3 linked regions of the Nothobranchius furzeri genome follow. The protein of the gene in region 1 purifies or fractionates together with the protein of each later gene. This does not show direct contact. Links are inferred from orthologs where the notes say so. Each region holds a gene or a part of one and is shown in the gene's direction. Other genes may lie near its edges.

Evidence for each region.
Region 2: the proteins of sgk2a (region 1) and hsp90ab1 purify together in Homo sapiens (affinity purification with mass spectrometry; 3 studies listed by BioGRID and IntAct, with this or other methods). This does not show direct contact. The link is inferred for Nothobranchius furzeri from reciprocal best matches to the Homo sapiens genes SGK2 and HSP90AB1.
Region 3: the proteins of sgk2a (region 1) and fkbp5 purify together in Homo sapiens (affinity purification with mass spectrometry; 3 studies listed by BioGRID and IntAct, with this or other methods). This does not show direct contact. The link is inferred for Nothobranchius furzeri from reciprocal best matches to the Homo sapiens genes SGK2 and FKBP5.

The regions. Positions count from the first base shown.
Region 1 is NC_091755.1:32,918,843-32,925,218, forward strand, and holds part of sgk2a (serine/threonine-protein kinase Sgk2), read left to right. Parts: intron 1-959; 5' UTR 960-974; coding exon 975-1,031; intron 1,032-1,551; coding exon 1,552-1,613; intron 1,614-3,181; coding exon 3,182-3,239; intron 3,240-4,274; coding exon 4,275-4,358; intron 4,359-6,376. UniProt on the Homo sapiens protein: Serine/threonine-protein kinase which is involved in the regulation of a wide variety of ion channels, membrane transporters, cell growth, survival and proliferation.
Region 2 is NC_091742.1:8,414,457-8,421,487, reverse strand, and holds the start of hsp90ab1 (heat shock protein HSP 90-beta), read left to right. Parts: upstream 1-2,962; 5' UTR 2,963-3,103; intron 3,104-3,866; coding exon 3,867-4,010; intron 4,011-4,080; coding exon 4,081-4,287; intron 4,288-4,370; coding exon 4,371-4,530; intron 4,531-4,628; coding exon 4,629-4,762; intron 4,763-4,831; coding exon 4,832-5,140; intron 5,141-5,210; coding exon 5,211-5,376; intron 5,377-5,468; coding exon 5,469-5,659; intron 5,660-5,773; coding exon 5,774-5,921; intron 5,922-5,999; coding exon 6,000-6,268; intron 6,269-6,368; coding exon 6,369-6,702; intron 6,703-6,805; coding exon 6,806-6,921; 3' UTR 6,922-7,031. Other genes in the region: rbm25b (RNA-binding protein 25b), read right to left, coding at 288-345, 487-698, 825-903. UniProt on the Homo sapiens protein: Molecular chaperone that promotes the maturation, structural maintenance and proper regulation of specific target proteins involved for instance in cell cycle control and signal transduction. Undergoes a functional cycle linked to its ATPase activity.
Region 3 is NC_091743.1:66,793,650-66,800,025, reverse strand, and holds the end of fkbp5 (peptidyl-prolyl cis-trans isomerase FKBP5), read left to right. Parts: coding exon 1-30; intron 31-280; coding exon 281-423; intron 424-1,426; coding exon 1,427-1,541; intron 1,542-1,631; coding exon 1,632-1,788; intron 1,789-2,535; coding exon 2,536-2,626; intron 2,627-2,803; coding exon 2,804-2,887; intron 2,888-2,971; coding exon 2,972-3,157; intron 3,158-3,241; coding exon 3,242-3,481; intron 3,482-4,631; coding exon 4,632-4,715; 3' UTR 4,716-4,947; downstream 4,948-6,376. UniProt on the Homo sapiens protein: Immunophilin protein with PPIase and co-chaperone activities. Component of unligated steroid receptors heterocomplexes through interaction with heat-shock protein 90 (HSP90).

The DNA.
Region 1 (6,376 bases):
TTTAAGGGCAGAAAGGAGTTTATCCCTCTGGAGGCAGGCGTTGCGGATTTGCAACAGTTAAAACCTACCTACCTGGTTACTCCACATACGTATTTCATGAGCATTTGTTAACTCAGAAGTCGCCCTGAAGGACTTAGTTGTTCGTCCTTTTATCAAACTTATTTTGAGCCTGAGAGGGTTCATGCAAATTTGAAACAATAGTCTAAAAGTGGATTAAATATAAAATGTAGTATGTTTTATAAATGACAAAAAATTTGGGCTTTCACAACACAGATGATGTCATGATCATGTGTATCGGCATGTCTGCTTTAGAACAGATAAACAGAGCTGGACTTCCTCAGGAAAAAAACATCATTAGTGTGGCTTTTGTTGTGTGTGTGTGTGTGTGTGTGTGTGTGTGTGTGTGTGTGTGTGTGTGTGTGTGTGTGTGTGTGTGTGTGTGTGTGTGTGTGTGTGTGTGTGTGTGTGTGTGTGTGTGTGTGTGTGTGTGTGTGTGTGTGTGTGTGTGTGTGTGTGTGACGTAAACATGTGATCTTGTGTTTCAGTAAAGATGAAAAAGAAACAATATTTTAAATATAAACATGTTCATTTCCGTTTCGCTTTACACACATGCATACACACACACACACACACACACACACACACACACACGATAATTATTATTTTTGGGGGTGTCTAGTTTTTGTCTTCAGAGAGTCAGTACCATTACTGGGACTTTATAAACACTGACCACAATGAGAACAATGCATTTGCACGTTTATCTATTACTCACACAATGCACCTCATTGTTTTGTCAGCATTTCATTCCACGGAAACCGATCATTTGGATCCTTGGGGTGTGAAATACCGCAGTCAGCAGCTGATTTTGCCAAAATGAAACGCAGCAAGAAGAAATCGGCTAAATAAGGAAACGACTGTAGGACATGTTTGAGTCCTAAATGTCTGCTCTCCTCCCACAGGTTGGTCAAACACTGATGTTCCTGGTGGGTCTTCAGAGAGACCAGAATTTAAGAACCATGGCACACTGTAATGTGAGTGTTTGTTCCCTTTTTTGTCTTAAAACTCTGCAGCCTGATTTGTTCACTTTCATGACATTTTGAAGTGATTTTCGTTGTAAAATGTATAAATAACTATTATTTGGCCTAGTTTGGACAGCATCAGTTGACTTCTGTTCAGAAAAAAAGCACACGTTCTAGAAGACTGATGAGCTAACGGCTAGTCTGAATGGAGGCAACACCAATGTTCTTTGCTGACGTTTTAAAGATCATCAATCTCATAAATGTTAAAGTGGCTGATGCAACCTTTAGTTATAAACCTTTCCAGCACTGCCATTTTCACATCATGTGGAATTTTATAGTTATTAACAAATGTAATATCAAAATTTAGCTATTCTAGTTAATCTGCGAGTCAAGGATGCATGGATGCCTTAAATGCAGAGGATTAGAAGTTAATAAGTGTTTCTTATTTAATAGAAGCAGTTTATGATCAGTGTCAATGACATACGTGTGTATTTCCTGTTGGCTTTTAAGTAATCTTGTGTTTTTTTTCCAGTTGCGATCAGCATCCCCTTCTTCTCATGACGATGTCAATTTGGGACCTTCAGCAAACCCACAGTCAGTAGTTGTGCTCAGGCTGATGTTTACTCAGATGGATTAGCCCACGTGTAAACATTTCTGCATAAATGTTGTTTGGAACGTCACAGAAGTTACAGTTTGAATAGAACATCTGGGGTTTTCGGCCCTTTACCGGTAAAAGAACAGATCCTAATATTGCAGGAAAACAGGTCCTTCCATAAAAAAGTTTTGACCTAATAGAATTCCTGTCTTACCTTCAGGGCTGTTGTCCGGCTCCGTGAGTCACCTTTTATCGAATCTCGGTTTATGAACAAGTTTTTTGTATTCATCAGAATTTAGTGATCCATTAAAATCTTCTCTGCCGAGGGTCTTGTCCTGGAATGCAGTGATATTTTTTCTTTTTGTCTTTAGGAAGTTCAGCTTTTGTATCATCTGTTTACAAAACCCCTTTTCCATGAACCTTCTGACTTCTTAAGATAATCTTTAACAAACAGTAGAGGGGCGGCCGTGGACATTTATTAAACTTAACACTGACTGAAGTGAGAGACGTCTAGCTGTGAACGGATTCTTTCATGACCTCGAGGACTTTAACTTAACCTTGGACCACGTGTATGACTAGTTCACCTCAGTGTCCTTTAGTTGTGCATTATAATAACAATCTTTCTTCTATTTGGCAAACCAAACCAAACGTTGTACAGACAGTGATCTAGATCTACAGTCTCTTTTTGTACTTGTATATAAATACTACATATAGTACACTCTAAGAAAGGAAATGTTGAATTTACCAAGTTGTCAACTGGCTCCACTAAACCTCGTTACTTAAAGGTGTTATAGCAAATCTGCAAACAAGCTAGGTTTTGAATTCAAACACGGTCATGGAACACTCACCCTTTCCTCTTGGGTATCTTCCCTGAGGCACTTCTTCCGAAACTGGAGGAAACGAGATAGTGCTAAACACCAGGTACCGTTTTCTAGGTCCAAACGTCTTTTGTTGTCCGTGATTTCAAATGACGTTTTTCATTTTGAGACTGGTAGTTTGTCCTGAAGTTAAAGTGGTATTAGCCGGCTGTTTGTCCAACTCTTATATTATTGAGACACAAACCTCTCACATCAGGGGTGTTTTGTTGCTAAATATGCAAATGTGTGGAGGACCCAAGTGTGGCAGTTGAGCAAGTCCAACAACCGGATGGTCCAGTGGTTGCTTTCGGTCTGAAATGTGTTATTGGTGGAGGTTTTAGGACAAATGCAAGACAACTACTTAATTAATTTTTTTCATATTTTTTAATCTCCACAAGATAGTCATAGCTATACTACATTAGAACAAGGCGTGAAAATGTTTTAAGGTAATTTATTTTCCATATTTGCTATTGCAGTTATAAATGTAAAGACAAATATACATTTACATTTAACGAAAAAAGTTTAACAGTGTATATTACTCTTTACATTTAAGCAACTACGTCTAGCGGAATCAGGTGACATAATTTGGTTAAGCAAATTCAACTTTTCAGTTTTACAGTGTAGTTCCTAAGCACATTTAATTCCAAATTTTATGTCTTTTTGTCTGCAAATGAACCACATTTACTCACATTTCTCCTATCTCTGTACAGTGCCAGACCAACAGACTTTGACTTCTTGGCTGTCATTGGTAAAGGGACCTTTGGAAAGGTAAAACTGAAACAACTACTTATTTATCTCTTTATTGATGACTGCATCTCCTGTTTAGATGTCAGCAGGTTTCTCGTTAACCCTCTAGTTCTGTGCAGGTTTCTTAGTTTATTTGTTCCTGATTAAACGACAAGCCTCTTATAAATGAATAGTTTTTGTAGTTTAATCATTTACTATGCTGTAATTCTTTTCTGTGCTGACCTTGTGTGACAGAAGGGAGAAAATAACAGAATAAACTACCTTTATCAATATGTGTGCTTTATTAATCATTAGCTGTGCCACTCACAGAGACGTTTTATGGTTTTCCTCAACATCAGTCAGTCCTACAAAAGTTTTTTAACATTTTAATTATTTAAGACTCTATAGTCATGTTTGTTGTCCTGCTGAACCTTTAACCAAAGGTCCTGCAAGGAATGGTGTTGATTTGGATTTAGGTTTGTTTTCGCCATCATACTGAAATCTTAGCTTCTCTAATCACATGCATGTTATAACTGAATTGTAGAAACCTTTACGCAGCACACGCATGATTCCCTTAACTTCTAATGGAAATATTTAGCTTCCTATAAAAATAGGGACTTATTCTTCTCAGCTGATTGTGGACTGTTTGTTCAGGAGGCCCAAGCTCACTGGTGTGCTTATTGGAAAGCCAAAAGAAAGACATAATAACAAAATAAAATGTAGATAATCTTTGATTTATTATCTGATTGTTTATTAGGACAAAACAAGAACTGATCCAACATTTTCCCCAATAATTTCCCAAGATGTAGTATTTTATTAAACACTGTTGCTAATCCTTTAGCAACTACTTGTCTTCCAAACCTAATTGTGTTTTATGTATTAAGTTAACTCTTCATGGTTGCTTTCATAGTACTTTTTTCTTTTAATCAACGTAGCTCTTTTTTCTCAGTATCAGCTGTTTCCTCCGATCACCTTTCCGCATGCTTTGCTTTGCTGAAATGTCCTGACAGCAGTGTGATGTGATGCTGGTACTGAATATTTACTAAACAAACCACTAACAAGAAAACCATCATGCAGGTCCTGCTCGCCAAGCTCAAAGCCGACAACAAATTCTACGCCGTCAAAGTGTTGCAGAAGAAAATCATCCTGAAGAAAAAAGAGGTATTTCTATCCAAGTTTTTCTTTGTTTTTCTCTGAATCCATAAAAAAAAACCAAATCAATCTGAAAGCAGACATAAGAGGAAATGTGTTTGTGTCTGAGCATAAATCTATCTTTGGGAGTTATTAGTAAACAATTTTCTGACCTCTCAACACGACCGGCATCTTATCTAATCTCCAGCTTGTTACGTGCAAAGGACACATTTTACAGCCCACAGAAAATAAACCCGGTTACTTCTGTGTTTGTCGAACAACATGGAGAGAATATCTAATTGAAGACACTGATTCTCCTCTTATTTTGAAAGGCTCTTTTCTGCTTAGCCTAAACTGTTGAAGGCCCATGGAACAAACATCATTGCCCCGTGTCATTTTTGATTTTCTGAACGCTAAATTCAAAAGCCTGTCTTCACCTGTAGTGCTTGTGGGCGTAGACGTCAGTCTTTTATGCTCCTTTGAAGTCTGATAAAACCGTGTCTTCGGGTTTTACGGAGCTTTTATATCTACCAGTTTCTACAAACCTTTATTAGGGTCTTAATTTTTACTGTATACAGTACAATAGGAAGCCCAGGAAAGGCAGATTTTGCATTTTACTCATTAACACACTCTAGAAATGAAATGTTGAATTTACTTAACCAAGTTATTTCAGCTAGTTCCACTAAACTCAGTCGCCTGAATGTAATTGTTAAATGTTTTTACATTAAAAGTAAATGTATATTATTCCTTACATTTAAAGGAGTCATCACCTGAAATTTTCGCTTTTCCACTTTTCAACTTGGAAAAATGTTCATAATATAATTCCTAGTGATATTTCACTGGCCGGGAAGCTGACATTTAACATTGGATCGTTTTATTACTCTTGGCTTCTTCAACCAGCCCACGTGCACCCCACAAGCAAGCACACTCAAAAACAAGATCTTGAGTTCTGGCTTTGATGTTGTCACAAAGGCAGGATGTGCAGTATCATATATGGACAACGTAGAGCAATGCCGCTGTAGCCCGCACTGCTTCCCCTCAAGTTCAGTCGAGCGCTGCCATTACTGAAATCGGGAGAATGGTAAATGTCTTAGCGAGTTTCACTTGTAAGCTGCTCAGTTGTTATCTGCCAAACTCCACACATAAATGTGTTTGTTTAACAGAAATCAGACACACCTAGCAAACATTGGTCCAATGGCAAGGCTGCGAAAGACGTGGAATTCACAACCAGAAAAGAAGTTTCAACTTTCATTCTGGAAATAGTCTTCTCAAAAAATATAGTAATAATGGTTCAGATTTTAAAATATCAAACATTTATTGGAGTGCCATCGTCGTTTTAACACCATTTTTGGTAATAGAAACATTTTCAGGTAATAATAGGTGTCAAAGCGGTAGCTTCACTAGCAAAATGCCCGACTTGCACTCAGAGGGCCCGGGTCTGAATCCAGGCTGGGACATATGAGATTCTGACCTAGATGGCAACATGCGCATCAAAAAACCAAACATTTTCCCTAAATAGACTGACGTTGTTTATTTTAAATACATGTAAACATGTCAGTTTTGCTGAAGGCGAACTGGTTCTAATCAAGCTGAAGCAACCTGATAATGCAGTAGGAAAGCGACTGAATCTGCATGTGAATGGCTACGTTGAGCTGATACTGGTAACCTCCGGAAGTGACGAGTCCGTGGAAGCGGTCTTTTAAAAATATTCACCCAAAATAACACGTGTAACAGTGACGTGTTGCGAGGTTCATGACTGGGGAGGCGCTGACTGCTCTGGAGTCACTTACAAATATATGATCCCAAAGTAAAAGCTTGTATTTTTATATATATATATTTTACCTTGAATTAAATATGTTGTTGTTTTAAAGCTTTTTGATCATAATTTAATCAATTTCATACTATTCAAATACATACAATTTCATATACACACACTAGCAAGAAAAGTAAATTAATATTTGTTTTGTTTTCGATCTGTGTTGCTATAAGCTAACTGGAAGAATGTGGCATGTCGCCACCTACTGTACCGGAGTGGAATGAACTTCATT
Region 2 (7,031 bases), on another chromosome or scaffold:
AAACAAATGGAGACGGGATGGAAAAAATATTGGTTGTCAATATCGGCCCGGTTTTATTTATCGAACCGATGTTAAAAAATGACTACCATCGGCCGATACCGATATTGATGCTGATATATTGTCCATCCCTAATTTCTTTGTTATTCACAAATGTGTGGTTTTTATTTGTTTAGTAAGAAGTTGCATTTCACACCTCTGGACCACATTGTTTTGTTTTCTTTAAGTGATCGCGAAAGTTAGCAATGAGAGTAAGCTACTGAAAGTTGCTGTGCAGAACTGTAAATCACCTTGAAGTTTGCCAGAGGCTCCTTGGACTCTCTTCCAGCTCAAAACAATACCACATTTCTGTAAACGTAGGACAATTACTAAAATAACATAATAAACACACACACACCATTAACAGTTAACAAAAATTATGCAAGCAGCATTTCTATATATGGATATTCAAAAGGTATGTGTAGTTTACACATATTTTCTAATTCTTACCGCCAGCAACTGTCTGATGAGCATGTCTGAAGCTTTCTCTGAAATGTTCCCCACAAACACGGTGGTGATAGGTCCACTGCTCTCTTCATCTTTGGCTCGCAGAGCAGAATAGTCTTTCTTTGGCATGGGAGGCTTACTGAGGACTGGAACAGACTGGACCATGACTGCAGGGGTGGGGGCCATGATGCCCATGTGGACAGGGATCATAGGAGCTGCAGCACATGCAACAAAAAAAAGTTGTTAAGACTGTGAATATGAAATTAATTAAATTATTACAAATAATGAGCATCTAAGAGGTGTCATGTTGCGTAATTTACGGGAGCCTGGTTGGTACTTACCTGTGGGGAAGCCAGCATACTGAGGAGGAATCCCAGGTGGGGGCAACAGCGGTCGATTTAAATGAGGAGGGAAGGACATTTTGAGGGTGAATGTGGCCTAAAGAAGACACATTAAAGGCCATTAGTGTTGTTTGCATAAGGTAAAAACGTCCAAACAGCTCAAGTAAAAACACAGAGGGAGCGAACATTAGTGTATCCACAATGAGGAAACACTGAAGGTCTCGGTGGTGAACATTACAAATCGATAGTGACTTTTATTTGACTTTGCTGGAACGTTAACTAAACTTAGCCAAACTTTGTGAGGTGCCATTCGCTAATTAGAAGTAACAAAGTCCAAACTTCTTAAAAATATTAACATCTCAACAATATTAAGACTAACCACACACAACAGCTAAGTACGCTAAAGCTAGCAATGAGCACGTTACCCGATATAACACCGGCACAGCTAAAATGCTAAAGTAACCTAGCCCGAGCAGATGTTAATTTATAATAAAACACTGACTTTCCCAAGGCTAAACATGAGCTCGAAGTAAATATAAAAGCCTCTACATATACCTACCACTCAACCAGGTGGCGTATGATGAGATAAAATCCACTAAAAATGTTAATGATAGTGAATTAATAGCTAACGTTCTGGACGCCTGATTAGCACGCTAGCTGGTCGCGGGCCCTCGAAAAGTTTGACGCACGCGCTTTAGGAGCAAGAGTACTGGCGCGCTTGTTTTGTGCACCAGAGTGTATACACTGAACGGGGCTTAATGTGAATTCGCAAAATGAACCCTTTTCAGGAAACGAAACTTCTGCTAACAGGGTTCGATCAGATTACCTAACTAACCTTGGAAGACCTAATGCGCGGTAGTAACTAAATGAATAAAAAAGGTTGAATAATAATAGCATTGAAATTAAGTTACACCAAAAAAGCGGTCCGCATTTTTTTTATTAAAACGATTTGTTTCTAATCGGTTTAATTTACAAAACATCTGATCACATAAAAAAACAGCATTGTGATTTTCCTACTCGTTTTAATCAATTAGAGGATAAAGCCATCATATGATTATTTCAATGTTAAACTTCTTTTTAAATGTTTTTTAAAAGAGTACATAAAAATTCTGTGTACATTATTGTTAAAATGGTCATTCTTACCAATTCTGAAATTGTAACTAATAAATAACATATTCTGTATGCAAAGTATGACTGTACTTCTGTTATTTATCACTGAGGTTACTATCTAAATTTATAAATGTGTCTTCTGTAGTTAAACTACATAATAGAAAGCTGAATCATAATCATTTGTGCATCTCTTGCATTTGATGGGTCTAACTGCGTACATTTATTCCACTCTAATCCACTTGACAACAGTGACTTCTTCCCCTTACACTGTACTAAAAACTCAATTCCAAAGTCGTGATCAACATGACAAATATAGTATTACATTTATGTATAGCAGTCCATCTTCCACTGGTGTTCTATGTCCATAAGAAAATCTGTAATTCATATAATAACAACCATTAGTTCATTTGACAATATAAAGCATATATTCTCATGATTCAGTACGGAAAAGGGTTGAGTTGATGGTTGTTAAGGCGTTTTTGCTGTAGGAACATTTTGTGACAGATGATACGTCGGGAGAGGAAAGGGGGAGATCTGTGACGTCACTTTAAGGCGGGGCTTTCATGGAAAGTGCTAGAAGCAGGCTAGAAGAAACGAAGCACACCTTCTCGTGTTTGAAATATTCATCCGTCGGAGTAAAAAGACCCACAGTCTATGTCGAATTTCAGGGAAACTAGACGCCACTTGAGATTTGAACTTGACGCGTGGTTTTAGTGTTATGCGAATCATTTCTCTATGTTGTCGCTAGATGGGATGATTGAGATCAAAAAACATCGCCTCTCAGTGCATGGTTTGCTGTAGCTCAACCTACCACAAGATGGCGACAACGTTACACTAAGGTCCGACTTCGTATACATTTTCTTTACTTAGATTGCATAATTGGCATTTAAACCCTTTTTACCCAACAAAACGTGAATAATAGATTATTCTTTTCCAGTGAGGAAGCATACAATGTGTGTTTAGTTCTGGCTGCGGTTTTACATAAAAGTGATTGCTTCAGGTTGTAGCTCGTGAACTGCGGATGGATACGACTGCACACTGCGACCCACGTGTATAAAGACTGGTCTGGTGCCGAAAAGTAGTTCCTTTCCTTTTTCTTCAGTCAGGGAGCGCAAGGGACTACACTTTTGCTGCATTTTATTCAAGAAAAAGTCAACGAAATTACCAAGGTGCGTACATTAACGGGTCCGTAGCTCGTGTCAGACATCCTTACCTTTATAAGTTTGTTAAAATATCATCGGTATGTATGTGTTTAACGAACATTATTAGTTAATGAAAATCCAGAGGTTAATATGGTGGTCGAATAAGTGTTTCGTGGAAGACAGACGCCTAGTACGTCGGCTGATGTTTTCATTTTCCTCTCGAGAGACTACTATTTGCTTATGTTTCCGAGCATCGTAGTGATGCTCTTGAGCAGCGGGAATGCGGCACCGTGATGTCAGGCAGGTGTGGTGACGGTGACTCCGCTGGATCGAGTTCTCGGCCTGATTAAATCCGTTATAAACCCACGTTAAACCGGTACACTGAGTTTAATGTGTGCGTAATAAGGCCTGGTTACCAGCCACGAGGGGTAGTGTTCATTTGGTCGTTACGTAATTGAACGCGGTTTCAATTAACCTCCACGTTTTACTGAAACTATCACATGGAGGCTAAAACAAGTACGTTTGTAGTATTTATGGAAGTCGTCGTCGCATTGTTTATCTATTAAAGTGACTTGAGTTGATCCGCCTTAATCGTTCGCCAGCACGTGTTTGCTGCGTCCATTGTCTAGTAGAAGCCATGTTTGTTAACTGACACTTCCGCCCTTATGTAGCAGACTGCTGCAGCGGCCATCCAACTTAATGAAGCCACTTGACGAAATCGCGTTACTTTGAAACTATCTTAAGTTCTGTTTCACTTTCATTTACTGAAGTGACTTTGTTATATTTTCAGATGCCTGAAGAAATGCACCAAGAGGAGGAGGTTGAGACCTTTGCCTTCCAGGCAGAGATCGCTCAGCTGATGTCCCTGATCATCAACACCTTCTACTCCAACAAAGAGATCTTCCTTAGGGAGTTGATCTCAAACGCTTCTGATGTGAGTCTGCTGAAGCTTCAGTATTCTTCTGACTTTAAGGAAGAAACTAACCGCTATTCCCTGTTTTCAGGCTCTGGACAAAATCCGCTATGAAAGCTTGACTGACCCCTCAAAACTGGACACTGGCAAAGATCTGAAAATTGACATCATTCCCAACAAAGCTGACCGGACTTTGACCCTGATTGACACCGGGATTGGCATGACCAAAGCTGACCTTATTAACAACCTGGGCACCATCGCCAAGTCGGGCACAAAGGCCTTCATGGAGGCCCTCCAGGTACTACGCATCCCATAATGGCCTGCACAGGATCTTAAGAGACTGACTGATCTTGTGAAGCTAAATTTGTTTTATTCCTCCAGGCTGGTGCTGACATCTCAATGATTGGTCAGTTCGGTGTGGGTTTTTACTCTGCTTATCTTGTTGCTGAGAAAGTGGTCGTCATCACCAAACACAATGATGATGAGCAGTACGCCTGGGAGTCATCTGCTGGAGGTTCCTTCACAGTCAAGGTTGACAGCGGTGTGTAATTCTAACCATCACCAGTGACGTCTGAGTGTGCACTACTTGCTTACTCTAGTTTATTTTAGCTTTTCTGAAAATTCCTCAAATGTTTTCAGGCGAGCCCATTGGCCGTGGAACTAAGATCATTCTGCACCTGAAGGAGGACCAGACAGAGTATGTGGAGGACAAGAGGGTCAAGGAGATCGTTAAGAAGCACTCTCAATTCATTGGCTACCCCATCACCTTGTTTGTAAGTGCTTAAAAGTACGTTTTAAAAATTTTAAGTCTTGGGCAGATTTCTAAAGCTTTTATGTCGCAGGTGGAGAAGGAGCGCGACAAGGAGATTAGTGACGACGAGGCAGAGGAGGAAAAGACCGAGAAAGAGGAGAAAGAAGAAGAAGCTGAAGACAAGCCCAAGATTGAAGATGTGGGTTCAGATGATGAGGAGGATTCCAAAGACAAGGACAAGAAGAAGAAGAAAAAGATCAAGGAGAAGTACATTGATCAGGAGGAGCTGAACAAGACCAAGCCCATCTGGACCAGGAACCCCGATGACATCACAAATGAAGAATATGGTGAATTCTACAAGAGTCTAACAAATGACTGGGAGGATCACCTGGCTGTCAAGGTACACGAGTTTCCGACAAAGTTTTAACCCTGCGGGCTGATTTTTTTTCTAATGCTTTATTTTCTTTCAGCACTTCTCTGTGGAAGGCCAGCTGGAGTTCAGAGCCCTGCTCTTTATTCCTCGCCGTGCACCCTTTGACCTCTTCGAGAACAAGAAAAAGAAGAACAACATCAAGCTGTACGTCAGGCGGGTCTTCATCATGGACAACTGTGAGGAGCTCATTCCTGAGTATCTGAGTAAGTTCAGCTGCATTTTCCACTGTGGTCTGAAATGATTCCACAGACTCTTTAAATGGCTAATGCATTTAAAATTACTTTGTCCACTCAAGACTTCATCCGTGGTGTTGTGGACTCTGAGGACCTGCCCCTCAACATCTCCAGAGAAATGCTGCAGCAAAGCAAGATCCTGAAGGTTATTCGCAAAAACATAGTCAAGAAGTGCTTGGAGCTGTTTGCAGAACTGTCGGAGGACAAAGACAACTACAAGAAATTCTACGAGGCTTTCTCAAAGAACATGAAGGTATTGAAACTAAATGGTGGATTCATCTGAATTGGCTTGGTGTGTTTTATAAACTGAGGGACGCATTGCTGTATTTTGCATTTAAAGATCATGTTTGGTTGCTTTTTTCCTCAGCTGGGCATACATGAGGACTCTCAGAACCGCAAGAAGCTGTCTGAGCTTTTGCGCTACCACAGCTCCCAGTCTGGTGATGAGATGACCTCCTTGACTGAGTACCTCACCCGCATGAAGGAAAACCAGAAGTCGATCTACTACATTACTGGTACTAACACACACTATCTGGAAACCACACCTCCCCGTAGACTTGTTCATCCTTGCTGAGGATCTGGTTTCTCTGCAGGTGAGAGCAAAGATCAGGTGGCCAACTCCGCCTTCGTCGAGCGTGTCCGCAAACGTGGCTTTGAGGTGCTGTACATGACAGAGCCCATTGATGAGTACTGCGTCCAGCAGCTGAAGGAGTTCGATGGCAAGACCCTGGTCTCTGTCACCAAGGAGGGTCTAGAGCTGCCTGAAGATGAGGATGAGAAGAAAAAGATGGAGGAGGACAAAGCCAAATATGAGAACCTCTGCAAGCTCATGAAGGAGATCCTCGACAAAAAAGTGGAGAAGGTGTGTGTTTTGGGTTTCCTTTCCCTGTAGGCTTAAGTTTTCATGAAGGGTTTCCTTGTGGTCCAACATGGTGTAAACCTTTGTGCTTAATTTCCTCCAGGTGACTGTGTCCAACAGGCTGGTGTCTTCCCCTTGCTGCATTGTGACAAGCACGTATGGCTGGACGGCAAACATGGAGAGGATCATGAAGGCCCAGGCACTCAGGGACAACTCCACCATGGGTTACATGATGGCCAAGAAGCACTTGGAAATCAACCCTGACCATCCAATCATGGAGACTCTGAGGCAGAAGGCTGAGGCTGACAAGAACGACAAAGCAGTGAAAGACCTTGTTGTCCTGCTCTTTGAGACGGCCCTGCTTTCTTCAGGCTTCTCTCTCGATGATCCACAGACTCATTCCAACCGTATCTACAGGATGATCAAACTTGGCCTTGGTAGGAACTCATCAGATTAGCTGTTGGTGGGTTTTTATTTCTCTCCTTTCTAATGTGTGCTTATGGGGTTTTTTTTTTTTTTTTTTTTTTTTTTTTTTTTTAGGTATTGATGATGATGACATTCCAACAGAAGAGACCACCACCACCACATCTGTTCCAGAAGAGATGCCACCTCTTGAAGGTGATGAAGATGCTTCACGAATGGAAGAGGTTGATTAAACGGACTTTACCACACTTCAAAACACTTAAAACCCTGTTTTACCAGTAGTTTATTCCCTAAAAGTGCAGTAACTGTAAATTAAATCATTCCTGTGGTGTGGAGGACCAGA
Region 3 (6,376 bases), on another chromosome or scaffold:
AAGAACCTTTTTGCTTCAATGTGGGCAAAGGTAGCTGTCTTCATGCCTTGCTGTAAAACACAAGAGCTCAGTTGTATCAAAAAGACATGCAGGCTTCACACAGTGAGCTGTATATTAGATAAGCTGATAAATGGAAAAAAGAACTTTTCCTTGTTTTTCAAGTTGCTCAGAATTTTACAAACATGGATATTTCTGATATTTGTGCCTTTATATTCTCAGTATTCCTGCCAGGCAGAGAAAATAATGGCTCCTTACTTTCTGGCTCCTTATTTTCTGACAGGACAAGTCCTGAAGGCATGGGACATCGGCGTATTGTCCATGCGGAGAGGTGAGGTGTGCACGCTGCTCTGTAAGCCGGAATACGCTTATGGATCTGCTGGAAATCCTGACAAAATTCCTCCAAACTCCTCAGTGGTGTTTGAGGTCAGTGCGTTTGTGCCATGCATTAATTCTTCATTAATGTGAGGGAATCTGCTGATTCAGAAGCACGTCTTGTTAATTTGAAGATTAAACTGATAGAAAATTAAGAAGTTTGTCTCCTTTAATCCTTCTGCCTACAAAACAGCACGTATTGTCTGAGTGCCACTCATTCCCAACATTCCTCTCTGGTTTTCAGACATTTGTGTAATTAAGCTTTTGAATTTGGCCTTATTATAATGTATTGCAAAGGGAAAATTTACATGTCTAGCGGTGCAGCCTGATTGGTCACATATTTATATTTAGAGACATAAACTAAAGCATATCATACTCTTTAAGGTTTAAACAATCTGTAAATTGTGGCATAAACAAAGAGAAAATTAAATATCAGCGTAAGGAATGACTAGAAAAAGGCCTCTTAGGTAATTTTTCTCAGAGAAAACTAAATTAGCTAAACTGGACTAATTAATCTGTTTTTGCAAAACCACAGCAGCAAGAGTGCTCAGCTCTGGGGATGAAGTTCGAAAGTTGTGGTGACATTTTAAAATGGATACAAACTTTTATCACAGTCCAGCAAATTTAGAGATAATTTGACATTTCAATACTTAGGAAGAAGTAGCTTAGCAACACCGCAGGCCCTGCTTCTTTTTGTCAAGGATATGCTCAAAAATACTGTTTATCTGATTTTGCATTAGTAAAAATAACAGATTCAGCAACAGTCAAATAAGCATCTTTTAAAATTTCATTTAAACTAAAAAATGCAAGAAAAAATAACGAAAGTAACTTGCAGGATTTTTGCTGTGTTCGTGCACACATTCTGTCGGGTTTCAGTGCATAAACGATGCACATCCAGTTTCACACTTCTCCAGCAGACATCATTATATCACAATTTTTTATTAACACGTCTCTCACTTTTTTATTATTTCCTCCTACATGTGTTGAATTCTGCACATATTTTGTTTTCTGCTTTAGCTTTATGATCTATAAAGAATTTTTGTTTTTCTAACAGATGGAGCTGCTTAACTTTGAAGGAGAGGTGCTGTCAGAGGATGGCGGCATCATCAGGAGAATAAAGGTCAAAGGTGACGGTTACAGTAACCCCAACGATGGAGCAAATGTCGATGGTAGTGACACAATTAGTTTGAAAGGCATAATTGTTTTGGTTTGATATAAAACATAAATCGGAGGTTAAATTGCATCTTGTTGTCCTGCAGTTCACGTGGAGGGACGATGTGGGGACCGGTTGTTTGACTGCCGAGACGTTAGCTTTACTGTTGGTCAAGGTGAAGATAAAGGCATTCCTTTGGGGGTGGACCGAGCTATGGACAAGATGCAAAAAGGAGAGTGCTGTTTACTTCAGTTAAAACCAAAGTAAGTTTCTTACAAATCCTTCAAAAATGCCATCTGTGTCATTTGCATGAGTCATTCTGAGGGGGCTTTCATTAACCACAGCTTGAATCTGTCATACAATAATAATAATTTTAGTTTGTTGTTTTCATCTCATGCCATTTACAAAGGATTTCAGCAGCTGTTTCTGCAAAATGAAAATGTTTTTTATAGCGACGTCACAAAGTTGTTTGCAGATTAATAATTGATATGTTTTTTTTTCTCATCGAAGTAACTAAATTTTGTGAAAAGAAACACTTTTGCATTTCCAATAAGGTTTAAGTACTGCAAAATAAAATTTAAGAATGCAACAAAATGCCTATTGGTAGGAAAGCATATAGTTTTTGATTTCTTCAATGGAAATCTGAAGCTTTCCTTAATGCTTCCCAGGGAGAGAGTATGTTTGATTGAAGAGTTCAGGAGTAACGAGAACACAGCTATTGTTCGGACTTCGAGATTTTTTTTTTTTGTGAAACTGCAACATTTTCCACTTAGTATTTACAGGTTAAATCTGAGGTAGAGGTGTTGTATAAGAACTGTGGATTCTTGTGCATCAGTAAAACAGGTTAAAGGACTCATCTCTGACTCATTTGCTAAAATGCCTGAAGTCCACCACTCTTCTAGCATGCAGCGTAACAGACGAAGCTCGTTATTTATGCTAGTTGTATTGATTAAACAAGTAATCGACTCCTTTAATGCTTAAGCATTATTGACATGCTTTTCTTTTTACAGGTATGGCTTTGGAAACGAAGGTAAACCGGAGTTCAAAATTGGACCAGACAAAGAAATTGCATATGAAGTTACTCTTAAAGACTTCACTAGGGTGAGTTTCCATTTTCTTTGATTGAACAAAGAAAACCTTTATTTACCAGATACAATACAAAACATATGCATGGTATTTTGGGTTCAAGTCTCATTTTAGACACATTTAAGCACATATCAAACCTACTACCTACAAACATCAAAACCCTAAATTAATGTTTGCTGTTTTATTTTAAAGGCTAAAGAGTCCTGGGAAATGGACTTGAGTGAAAAGCTGGAATTGACTGCTGCGGTGAAAAGCAAAGGGAATCAGTATGTTAAGGTAACGTATCTGTGATTGTGTTCAAATGAATCATTCTGCTTCTCATCTAAATAATCCTAACTTATTTTGAAAATCTATAATCAGGCAGGACGGTACCACCAGGCGGTCATCCAGTACCAGCGCATCATTTCCTGGCTGGAGTTGGAGTGTGGCTCTGGAATGGAGCAATACAAGAAGATCCAGGACTACGTTATGACGGCTCATCTTAATTTAGCGTTGTGTTTCCTTCGGCTAAAGGAGTTCTCACAAGTGGTGGACAACTGTAACAAGGTGAGCTGCGTGACCCTGATGATTAGATCACCACCTCCTGCAGCAGCTGAGTTCCTTCTCATACTGTGTGTTTGTGTGTTTAAGGTAATTGAACAGGATGCGAGCAATGAGAAGGCTCTGTATCGCCGTGGGGAGGCCCGGCTCCTCCGCAACGAGTACAACCTAGCCTTGTTGGACTTTCAAAGAGTGCTGGAAGTCAACCCGTCGAATCGAGCAGCTCGTGGTCAAATTTCCAAATGCCAGAACAAAATGAAGGAACATCAAGCCCAGGAGAAAATGATCTATGCTAACATGTTCCAGAAATTTGCAGAGCGTGACTCAAAGGTCTGTAAACACTCACTCAGACATATTTTTCCCTTCCCTTTGCTTTCCTTTGTTTAGTTACACTTTCCCACTAACGTTTAAAACCTTTTAAGTCTTAACTGACTCCTAACGTAATAGGAGCCAACACTGACTGAGTGTTGCCGTTGAAACTGATGTTTAAAAATTGTAATTCAAATAATTTTTCATAACTTATTTTTAAAACTGAACGAAACCAAACATTTAAAGAATCTTACTTGGATGGGCTCACACTCGGTCTGCTAATTTCAAATTTAAAGTTGTGGAACAGCGAAAACCATTTTTTAACGATTATTTCTGATTAGAATCGATCACTCTGAGTTTTTCATGCAGGCTTAACATGAAGATAGTCTCCTACACTAATCTTGTGCAGTAGCTTCTGATAGAAAATAGATGGTAAAACGTTAGGATTTGAAAAGCCTGACAGATCTACTTCACATTACATCAATTAGCATTCATGGACTCCGTCTTTGACTCACGACATGGAAGGCTGTTGTTGCTTTAGCATCCAGGAAATAGCAGAGAACGTCTCGGCTAGTTTAAGCTAACTTCAGCATTAGCAACTCCACCACACAGCAGAACTCCTACAGTCTTGTGCTATTTGTGGAGATAATAAATTAGCATTGCCCCCAATGAGAACGACTTACAAGGCATTCATTCCTACTAAAGACCACTACAAATGTATTGATTAAACGAGTGACCCACACCTTTAACTACTTTAAAAGAAGAAGCAGAAGAAAAAAAAGAAAGTTATGATTAGTCTATTAAATCATGCTTCCAGTTGAAATAACAATAATGATCTGAAATGTATAAATTCTGGCTGCACTATATGTATATATATATATATATATATATATATATATATATATATATATATATATATATATATATATATATACACACATATTTAATTGTTTTGATTTCAATCTGAATTTGTCCAGCCTTTCTGTGAATGCTTTGTTAAACATTATACTGCCCTCTAGTGGCAAGATTAAACATTTAAGTGAAAATGCAGCAATAAGAAATGTTATCAGAATATTTATGCTATTAAAGGTGTTTGAAACTAAAATTTTGGAAACATAAAACTTTAATTATTTTTGATTTTTTGTATTTGTTTATCTTATTCTCTGAAAAGAAGGGGAAGACGAAGAGGAGGAGCAGCATGAACGGTGAAATGTGCATTAAACGACGACGGAGGAGTCAGGACTGTGCTTCGTAACAGAAGAACAGAGGCAGAGAAAAGGTGGAATAACAACCTCAAATCTACAACCTCTTCATCCCAAATCCCGTGGACCACATGTGCGCGAGCAAAGCAGATGGCAATTCTCTGTCTCTAGTACAGTAGAACAACCAGATCGTTCCCCCGTGGAGGTCGAACGACAACGTGACTTTGTGTAGATCGGTGAATAGGTTTCACCCATTTTTATTGGAAAAAGCAGTTTAAATTCAAAACACTGAGAATCTCTTCCTTTGGTTTTCTATATATATTTATATATATATACACACACACACACACACACACACACACACACACACACACACACACACACACACACACACACACACATATATATATATATATATATATATATATATATATATATATATATATATATATAAATGTGTATGTGTGTGTGTGTGCATATGTATTTGGCTACTGTGTTAATATGTGCCTTCATACTTTGTTTTCAAGTTGACATTTGCTGGTTTTCAGACCTCTGATTTGGTATTGAGCCTTTTATAAGGCAGCTGCTTGCGCATATCATGTTGGGAATCAGACTTGAAACTTTGCAAAATTATTATTTTTTAAGATGTGCAATATGGATTTTGGATAAAAGGAGTAAACTATTAGCCCAGTGGTCTATGTATGTGTGTGTATATATATGTGTGTATATATATATACATATACATACACATATATATATATATATATATATTTATATATATATATATATATATATATATATATATATATATATATATATTTATATATACATAGACACACACAATTTCATAAGGCAACAGGAGCAGTCTCAAAAAAGCACAAAGTACAGAAGCCAAAATTGTAAAGTAACGTCAAACGTTAAAAACTTGCAAATCCATGATTGACTGTAAAACGCGACAGTAGTTGTACTGAAATTAATCCTTTGAAGTAATTACTTCCAGGACCATGTTGCAAATGGAGCACTTTGTTTTCCTAAGAATTTATTTGACAATGGTCATGCACTAAAATTAGGAATACCTAACTCATTCATGCTGAAACGTGTCTATTTTAACCCATCAGACAGTATTACAGGGAAGCCAGTCTGGGACTGTTGTTGATCAAACAAAAAATGATAAGCATTTGTGTTAATTAACAGATGAGCTATGAAAAATTATTACATTTCAATCGTTTGGCAGCTGCAAAAACCTTGACGCAACAAAAGCTGCAAAAACCTTGACACAACAAAAGAAAACATGACAGCATAGACTAAATGGAATGGAATGCATCATTGTGATGCTGTGGTTAGCATCGTTTTTGTACGTTCTGGGTTTGACCTGGACTTTTTACGTAGAGTTTGTTTGGATTTTAGCAGTTTTCTCCAGCAGCTTAAAGATGTGCACATCAGAAAATGTGGTAACTTGGTAAATTTAGCCGCGAAAATATGCGTAGAGATAGTTTTTGCCTCCCATCTTCTATCATCTGTGGTGGTACAAACATGAGTCTCTCCACATAAGTAGAGTCTAAAAGACAAAATGATTATTGTTGCTTAATGTATGAATGTTTACGCTTTGAAAGCTTTAATGGAATTTAGGGATTGACGACTTTCACTTTCATTTTTTTTATAAAATAATGCCACTATTAAAAAATATCACAGTTGACAGCAATTCTATTGGTCA